2 linked regions of the Sus scrofa genome follow. The protein of the gene in region 1 interacts with the protein of each later gene in a biochemical or structural test. Links are inferred from orthologs where the notes say so. Each region holds a gene or a part of one and is shown on either strand. Other genes may lie near its edges.

The links.
Region 2: of the proteins of PRMT1 (region 1) and HNRNPA1, one has a biochemical effect on the other in vitro, tested with the Homo sapiens proteins (3 studies listed by BioGRID, with this or other methods). The link is inferred for Sus scrofa from reciprocal best matches to the Homo sapiens genes PRMT1 and HNRNPA1.

Annotation. Positions count from the first base shown.
Region 1 is NC_010448.4:54,725,279-54,729,015, forward strand, and holds part of PRMT1 (protein arginine N-methyltransferase 1), read left to right. Parts: intron 1-860; coding exon 861-1,003; intron 1,004-1,663; coding exon 1,664-1,751; intron 1,752-1,841; coding exon 1,842-1,957; intron 1,958-2,814; coding exon 2,815-2,965; exon of another isoform or gene 2,966-3,562; coding exon 3,563-3,684; intron 3,685-3,737. UniProt on the Homo sapiens protein: Arginine methyltransferase that methylates (mono and asymmetric dimethylation) the guanidino nitrogens of arginyl residues present in proteins such as ESR1, histone H2, H3 and H4, FMR1, ILF3, HNRNPA1, HNRNPD, NFATC2IP, SUPT5H, TAF15, EWS, HABP4, SERBP1, RBM15, FOXO1, CHTOP, MAP3K5/ASK1, MICU1 and NPRL2.
Region 2 is NC_010447.5:19,483,732-19,487,976, forward strand, and holds the start of HNRNPA1 (heterogeneous nuclear ribonucleoprotein A1), read left to right. Parts: upstream 1-1,445; coding exon 1,446-1,460; intron 1,461-2,005; coding exon 2,006-2,122; intron 2,123-2,415; coding exon 2,416-2,562; intron 2,563-2,692; coding exon 2,693-2,903; intron 2,904-2,994; coding exon 2,995-3,087; intron 3,088-3,172; coding exon 3,173-3,265; intron 3,266-3,374; coding exon 3,375-3,449; intron 3,450-3,723; coding exon of another isoform or gene 3,724-3,882; intron 3,883-4,245. UniProt on the Homo sapiens protein: Involved in the packaging of pre-mRNA into hnRNP particles, transport of poly(A) mRNA from the nucleus to the cytoplasm and modulation of splice site selection.

The sequences.
Region 1 (3,737 bases):
TGGCTCAGGTTTGATGCCTGGCCCGGGAACTTCCTCATACCTCTGGTGCAGCCAAATAAATAAATAAACAACATGACCAAACGATTATATACAGGCTGGATAAACAGCAAGGTCCTGCAGAGAGCCGTGTGTGATATCCTGTGAGAAACCATAAGGAGAGGGGACCTGGAAAAGAACAGGACTATGTATGTGTATAACTAAATCCCTTTGCTGTACCCCAGAAATTAATACGACACTATAAACCCACTATACTTCGGCAATGTTTTTAAAACTACAAAAACACGGAGTTCCCGTCGTGGCTCAGTGGTTAATGAATCTGACTAGGAACCATGAGGTTACAGGTTCCATCCCTGGCCTTGCTCAGTGGGTTAAGGGTCCAGCATTGCCTTGAGCTGTGGTGTAGGTCACAGACGCGGCTCGGATCCCACATTGCTGTGGCTGTGGTGTAGGCCGATGGCTACAGCTCCAATTCAACCCCTAGCCTGGGAACCTCCATGTGCTGCAGGAGTGGCCCAAGAAAGGGCAAAAAGACAAAACAAAAACCTGCAAAAACACGCGACCATGGCTATGAATGGCAAAACCTTCCATCACCTAATCCCTGATCCACACACAGTCTCTGCTGCCGCCCCCGAAAGAGCCCTCGTGCGGAACCAATTTTAGAACCAAGTGGCTGGGGTGTGGCTTCAGCTCGCAGAGCCCGATGACGGCTGCCCCCAGTCCAGCCCCCAGCCCCCTTCCTTGAGAAACCAAGGGCAGCCCCTGAGGGGGGACTCCAGGCCCTGTCCCCCGGGGCGGGGGACCCCCCCCCCCCCGCGCCGGGGCTCCTCGGGGCGGCGGCACGAGCGCTGTGTGGCCCGCAGTGGTGACCATCATCAAGGGAAAGGTGGAGGAGGTGGAGCTGCCGGTGGACAAGGTGGACATCGTCATCAGCGAGTGGATGGGCTACTGCCTCTTCTACGAGTCCATGCTCAACACCGTGCTCTACGCCCGCGACAAGTGGCTGGTGAGGCCCCCGGCCAGCCGGGCGGGTGGGAGCCCCGGGCCCGCAGCCCCGGGAGGCGGGGGGCGATGGCGCAGAGGAGCCGGGCCCTGGGGCGGCGGGGTGGTACCGTGCCAGCAGGAGGTTAGGGCCAGGAAGAGGGGTGGGGGGAGTGCCTGTGGTCCCAGGGGAGGTGCCAGGTGTGAAGGGAGGATAGGAAGGCGCTCCCTAGGATCTGAGGAGGAGAGTGCACTGGACAGGGGATGTCTGCCAGGGCACCGGCCCTGGGGTGGCAGTGCGCTGGCTGCGGCTTGAGCAACGGGGAAGCTGCAGCGCGGTGAGGCTCTGGGGGAGCAGTGAGGCTCTGGGGGAGCATTGGGAGGAGACGTTGGAGGAGTGGGAGGGGCCTCCACACCTGGGAGGCCCTGCTTTCCTCCTCCAGGGAGCCAGGGAAGCTTCTGGGGAGCCCTCAGGACCTCTGGAGTACGGGGTCTGACTTAGATGCTCTTGGGAGCCATCAGGCAGCCCTCCCGGGAGTTGGTGAATGGCTGGGAACCAGTGAGGGGCCGCCGCCTCGGGAGTCCAGGGCGGGGCAGGGGGCCTGGATAAAGGGATCAGGCAGGCAGGGTTCAGGGGCAGCGTCTCCGAGCCCCTGTCACCGGTCCCTTCCCGGCTCCTCCGCAGGCGCCCGACGGCCTCATCTTCCCAGACCGAGCCACGCTGTACGTGACGGCCATCGAAGACCGGCAGTACAAAGACTACAAGATCCACTGTGAGCTCGGGGCCCGCAGAGCTGGCGGGATGGGGCGGGCTCAGGCCCCGCACCCCCAGGGCTCACCCTTCCTCCTGGCCTCCTCCCCAGGGTGGGAGAACGTGTACGGCTTTGACATGTCCTGCATCAAAGACGTGGCCATCAAGGAGCCCCTGGTGGATGTGGTGGACCCCAAGCAGCTGGTTACCAACGCCTGCCTCATAAAGGTGCGGGGTCGGGGGGGGTGGCTGGTGGTGGCCGAGTGTCCTGAAGGGTCGGAACCTGGCCCGTGGATGGGGACATCAGGGCCCAGAGTGCTTGCTTGCCTGAGGCCTCAGGAGCCTGTTGTGTCCACTGCAGATGGCACTAGACACTTGGAGAAGCCACTTCATTTAAAAACCTTTGTGAGCCAGGCATGGCCCTTGGGTTCCAGAATGGGGTGGTGAGAGGGGCTAGCCCTGCCCCCCTGGGCACCCCCCCTCCCCCAGGCAGGCAGCAGAGACCCCAGGCAGGGCCACCAAATGCAGGAAGCCCAGGGCCACCAGCAAGTTTATACACACTTGGGTCCCTGATAAAGAATACTGGCAGCTATCCTTTTTTGAGGTCCCCCCACCCCAGCATCACATCTTGCAGGGATGCATGAGGCAGGCAGAACTGGGTGGAGGAGGAGGGAGTTTGCAGAGGGAAGCAGGGGTGGTGGCAGATGCCCTGACCAGGAGAGCCTCTGTGACCTGGTTCGGTGCCGAGTGTACTGGGGCGCAGTCAAGAGTTGTAACTAGGGCTTTGACGTGGATCTGGTTGCTGCTGTTTTTAAATTGTCACACTGGAATCAGGGGTCCGTGTGGGGGGAGTGGCAGGGAACCCTGCTAAGATGCCGCTGCCGGGGAGAGGGGATGGTGGCTGGGGCAGTGGAGCTGTGTCAGCAGACAGCTCTCCAGGGAGCAGCGTGGCTCCAGGAAGTCGGAGGGTCAGATCAGGGGGTTGGGGGAGAGGGGAGCAGGGGACCCAACAGGGCCCCCCAGGTCTTTCGGCAGGCCCCTGGGCTGGAGCTGCGGGACTGGGGCTCACGAGGCTCATCCCACAGGAGGTTGACATCTACACAGTCAAAGTGGAGGACCTGACCTTCACGTCCCCCTTCTGCCTGCAAGTGAAGCGGAACGACTACGTGCACGCGCTGGTGGCCTACTTCAACATCGAGTTCACCCGCTGCCACAAGAGGACCGGCTTCTCCACCAGTGAGGCGGGGCCCGGGCGCTGCGGGGTGGTGGGGCAGGTCCCACTGTGGCAAGGGAGGGAAGGATCTGACTGCAGCAGCTCGAGTCGCTGCAGAGGCGCGTGGTCAACCCCCAGCTTGGTGCAGTGGGTTAGGAGGATCCAGTGTGACAGCAACCGTGGCTCAGATTTAATCCCTGGCCCAGGAACGTCCATATGCTGTGGGTGTGGCCATTTAACAAATGAAAAAGGAGTTCCCATTGGGCTCAGCGGTTATGAACCCAGCTAGTGTCGTTGAGGAGGCAGGTTCGACCCCTGGCTCCCCTCCATGGGTTAAGGATCCCACATTGCTGCTGTGGCTGTGGTGTCTGCTGGCAGCTGTAGCCTGGGAGCTTCCATATCCACGGGTGCGGCCATTCAAAAAAAAAGGCAAAGAGAAGAAAAAGAGCGGCCAGGGGGACCCCGAGGCCCCAGATTACCTGCCCAGGAAACGGCCCCTCTCCCCAGGCTTGCCGAGGGTGAAGAGACTGTGGTCCCGGCTCCGTCCGCAGGCACAGGGGGTGGGGTGGGGGCTGGGGGCCGGGTCGGGGGGGTGCCCGGCTGACCCGCCTGCCCCCCAGGCCCCGAGTCCCCGTACACGCACTGGAAGCAGACGGTGTTTTACATGGAGGACTACCTGACGGTGAAGACGGGCGAGGAGATCTTTGGCACGATCGGCATGCGGCCCAACGCCAAGAACAACGTGAGGCTCGCGAGGAGGGGGAAGGGCTGGGGGGGCCCCCAGCACCCCTTACC
Region 2 (4,245 bases), on another chromosome or scaffold:
AAAACCGAGGAATACAGGACCAAACTTAACAGCTTTCCTACCAGAGAAGTGTGGCACGGAGGCCCACAGGTTTTGTTAAAGTCATTGTGAATAAAATAGCCCCTACGCGCCATCACAGGCATTGAATCCCCTTCCTCGCATCCCCAAATCTAAGACCTCCCTCTTTTGGAGCGCTGATTGGACGAACAGCCTGAGCGCTTTCCAGAGGCTGCTCGCCTACTGGCTCCCGATTTGGTCCATCCACCTAACCGCCCAACTCCCGCATCCCCCATTGGAGTCAAATCGTGGCCTCTTGGAGGAGCCCAACCTACCGCGCGCTTCGTGCTCATTGGCTCAGTGAGATGCTGCTCAGGAGGAGAAAGCCCGCCTCCCACATACCGATGGCCCAAGGACCGATGAGTCGGCAGCTAAGGACAGCCCCAATTGGCCTATACACTCGCCAGTCAAACTCTTCCGCTGCAAAGCTCCACAGAACCTACGGGGATAAAACATCCCGCCCCCGTTCTTCCATTGGTTGGCCGATCTCACCGCTCCCCCTTCACGAGCCCCCACCCCGAGGTCCATTCATTTCACACAATAACGGGCCCAGTTGGAGTCAGTTCAAGACCTCGTATGGGTAGGCAAGATGGTCCGCCACTTACCGGGGGTCGAGACCGATCACTCACGCTAACGCCTCGCCTGTTCCTCTGTGGTGCGGCCGGACCACAAGCCACCGCCGCCGCCGCCTTCTGCGCAACGCCAACCGCCCGCCAAAACGGATCCTTCCCTGCGCCTGCGCGACCAATCCTGGGACCCGACCCTTTCCCCGCCCATTACGCCTGCGCAAAAGGGGGCACAACTCCCGCCACTACGCAGGCGCCTTAGGTTCGCCGCTGTCTCCTGCCCGCCATTTCACGTGTTGCAAGCTCCGGGCGGAACTTCTTAGCGCGCCTGCGTAAACTCGCCATTTTACTACACATGCGCTCAGCAGGCGATCTTGCCCCCGCCCCCGTTCCGCCAAATTGTCACATGCTAGCTACTTTTTTGATACATAGTATTAAAAATGCTTTGACACAGGCGTTGAATATTCCGGACATAGCTAATTAAAAAGTTATCTCAATACCCGAAATAATTCAAATATGAATCATTGGTTGACCAGCCAATCAGTCTAGTTAAGAATAATATTACTTAGGAACCAATGGACCGGGAGGGGTTGAGACTGCGTAGAACGCCCAAACGGATGACGTTACACAGCAACGCATACGAGAGACCAATAGTGGGGGAAAGCTATGTCAAATATCCAATCAGAGCTACTCAGGGGCGGAGTCTACCAATGCCGAACGCGAGGAGGCGGGATAAAAAAGCGAGGCCGAAGGTAGGCTGGCAGACTCGTTCGTTAGATTACTCCTTTCTGCCCCCGGACGCCGCCGAGTAAGCATCGTTGTAACCTCCTCCCCACTACCGTCATGTCTAAGTCAGAGGTGAGTGAGACTCTTTTTTCATCTGCGTTTTCTTCTTCGCCGCTTGCTGAGTTTGGTAGGGTGCAGTCTGGTTTGGCTGCTTGCACCAGCCTTTTCGGCAGTTCTTCGGTCGCTGCCGGGGCCTACCCCTCCCTGAGTTCAGGTCGCCATTTTGTCCTCGTCGCCATGAGGCTGTCGTCGTGCAATCCTTGGTTATCACGCTGCTCTCGTTCTTTTTTGCAATGCTCGTGGACACATTCGGTCTGTTTTTCATCCTTGTCCTAGTGGACGACTTTCTTAAAGAGTAGCTGTAGTCCAATTTTGGCGATGCACGCCCTCCCAGTCCTTTTGTTGCGCGTGCGTCGTAGGGAGAGTAAGGGGCGCATGCGCTCGCCGCTTCCCAGCCCCCAACATACCGCCTCCCCAGATGGGGAGAAGCACGTGGCTTACAGCGACCCGAGGGAACAATAAAAGCTTCGTACGTTGCTACCTGGTGTTGCTTCTTGTAGCGGGGAGCTTGTTTGCGTTATAGCCCTATTTAACGCTTTTTTTGCCCCTACTTCTAGTCTCCCAAAGAGCCCGAACAGCTGCGGAAGCTCTTCATCGGAGGTTTGAGCTTTGAAACAACCGATGAGAGTCTGAGGAGCCATTTTGAGCAATGGGGAACGCTCACAGACTGTGTGGTAAGACTTGGAAGAGACAAAAGGCCTTAGAGCTAGTTGTTTTTCTTGGCTTATCTCGCTGTCGTTGCTGTTTGAATGCTTATGAAGATTCCTATTGACTTTATAGCTTACTTGACAAAGGAAGGTGTGGCTTCATAGCTGAAAAGCTCCCAATTGTTAGGTTTAAGGGGTGGGGGCGGTGGTCATTGAAGAGCTTCGTTTAGAGGGTTGGTAGAAAGTTTTCCATTGCCTTAGTCAAGGTAGAAAAGGCTGTAACTTCTGGTGTCTTACCATGTGCTAAATAAACATTAAAGGTAATGAGGGACCCAAACACCAAGCGCTCCAGAGGTTTCGGGTTTGTCACGTATGCCACTGTGGAGGAGGTGGATGCAGCCATGAATGCAAGGCCGCACAAGGTGGATGGAAGAGTTGTGGAACCAAAGAGGGCCGTCTCAAGAGAAGTAAGTGATGTTTTTCTTGTGTTTCATCGACTGGAAATGTTCGATTAGCAGGATTCACTCACATTAAGGGGATGTAACAGACTTAGTATTAACATGGTCTTAGGATTGTTACTATTTTCTCCCCCTTTAGGATTCTCAAAGACCTGGTGCCCACTTAACTGTGAAAAAGATTTTTGTTGGTGGCATTAAAGAAGACACTGAAGAACATCACCTAAGAGATTATTTTGAACAGTATGGGAAAATCGAAGTGATTGAAATCATGACGGACAGGGGCAGTGGCAAAAAGAGAGGTTTTGCTTTTGTAACTTTTGATGACCATGACTCCGTAGACAAGATTGTCAGTAAGTAGCAGGTGGTTGGCATTCGCTAAGAGTTCTGAAATCCATTTGTGTCCTAAACTCTGAGATGGTGTCTTACTTTCAAATTTTTCAGTTCAGAAATACCACACTGTGAATGGCCACAACTGTGAAGTGAGGAAAGCCCTATCCAAGCAAGAGATGGCTAGTGCTTCATCCAGCCAAAGAGGTGAGTTTGTTGCTTAATTAAACCTTAAGCATCATTTTGAATGATTTTAACCGGTACAATTTAACGTTAACATTTTTTTCTTCAGGTCGAAGTGGTTCTGGAAACTTTGGTGGTGGTCGTGGAGGTGGTTTTGGTGGAAATGACAACTTTGGTCGTGGGGGAAACTTTAGTGGTCGAGGTATGTATGGTTTTTTATTATTTTAACGCTTCTTAGAATTTAGGCTTAGAAGGGTGTGATTTGTATGCGATCCACATACTTCAAACCTGGCTTTTAAATTCTGTTCCAGGTGGCTTTGGTGGCAGTCGTGGTGGTGGTGGATATGGTGGCAGTGGGGATGGCTATAATGGATTTGGTAATGACGGTAAGTTTTTTTGTTTTTACTGTTAAAATTTTGTGTGTGCGTGTGTGGGTTTTTTTAGTTCGTTTTGTTGTTGGATTTTTTTGTTTTTTAAGAAACTACAGGTAAAAAGTTTGACTACTTTTAGAATAGGCTAGTAGATACTAAAACTTTAGTGCATGATAAGTTCAAGTTTGACTCTTACAGCATGTTGTGAGCCGGCCTTTAGCCATCATGCTTGCACAGAATTTGAATGTTGAATACTTGTGTCTTATTGAGAAGAATTGTATTCTTGTAGGTGGTTATGGAGGAGGCGGCCCTGGTTACTCTGGAGGAAGCAGAGGCTATGGAAGTGGTGGACAGGGTTATGGAAACCAGGGCAGTGGCTATGGCGGGAGTGGCAGCTATGACAGCTATAACAACGGAGGAGGCGGAGGCGGCTTTGGCGGTGGTAGTGGTAGGTATCCAGTGATCCAAGTACTTGGTGCAAATAGCTAGCTTAGCCATATGGGAACTTGATGCTCTCTAGGCATAATGTGTTTTACTGCATGGTACTTTCTTTTAATGGGCTTGCAATGCTACCTCCTCCTAGCTTTAAGCTGGGGCCGCCTCACTCCCAAATAGATTAAGGGGGATAGTGGTGCCTACAGTTAATCGGGATTAGGTTAGCTTTTATTTAGGCACTTAGTTGATGTATCCAGCATGTGTTTGCGGTGCCCCTGGATGGGTAACAACAGCCTTCGAGGCTAGAGACTATACTACTTGCTCTACCATGGTGAGTCAGGGGTAAATTTCTAGCTACTGGATTATTCAACTGAAT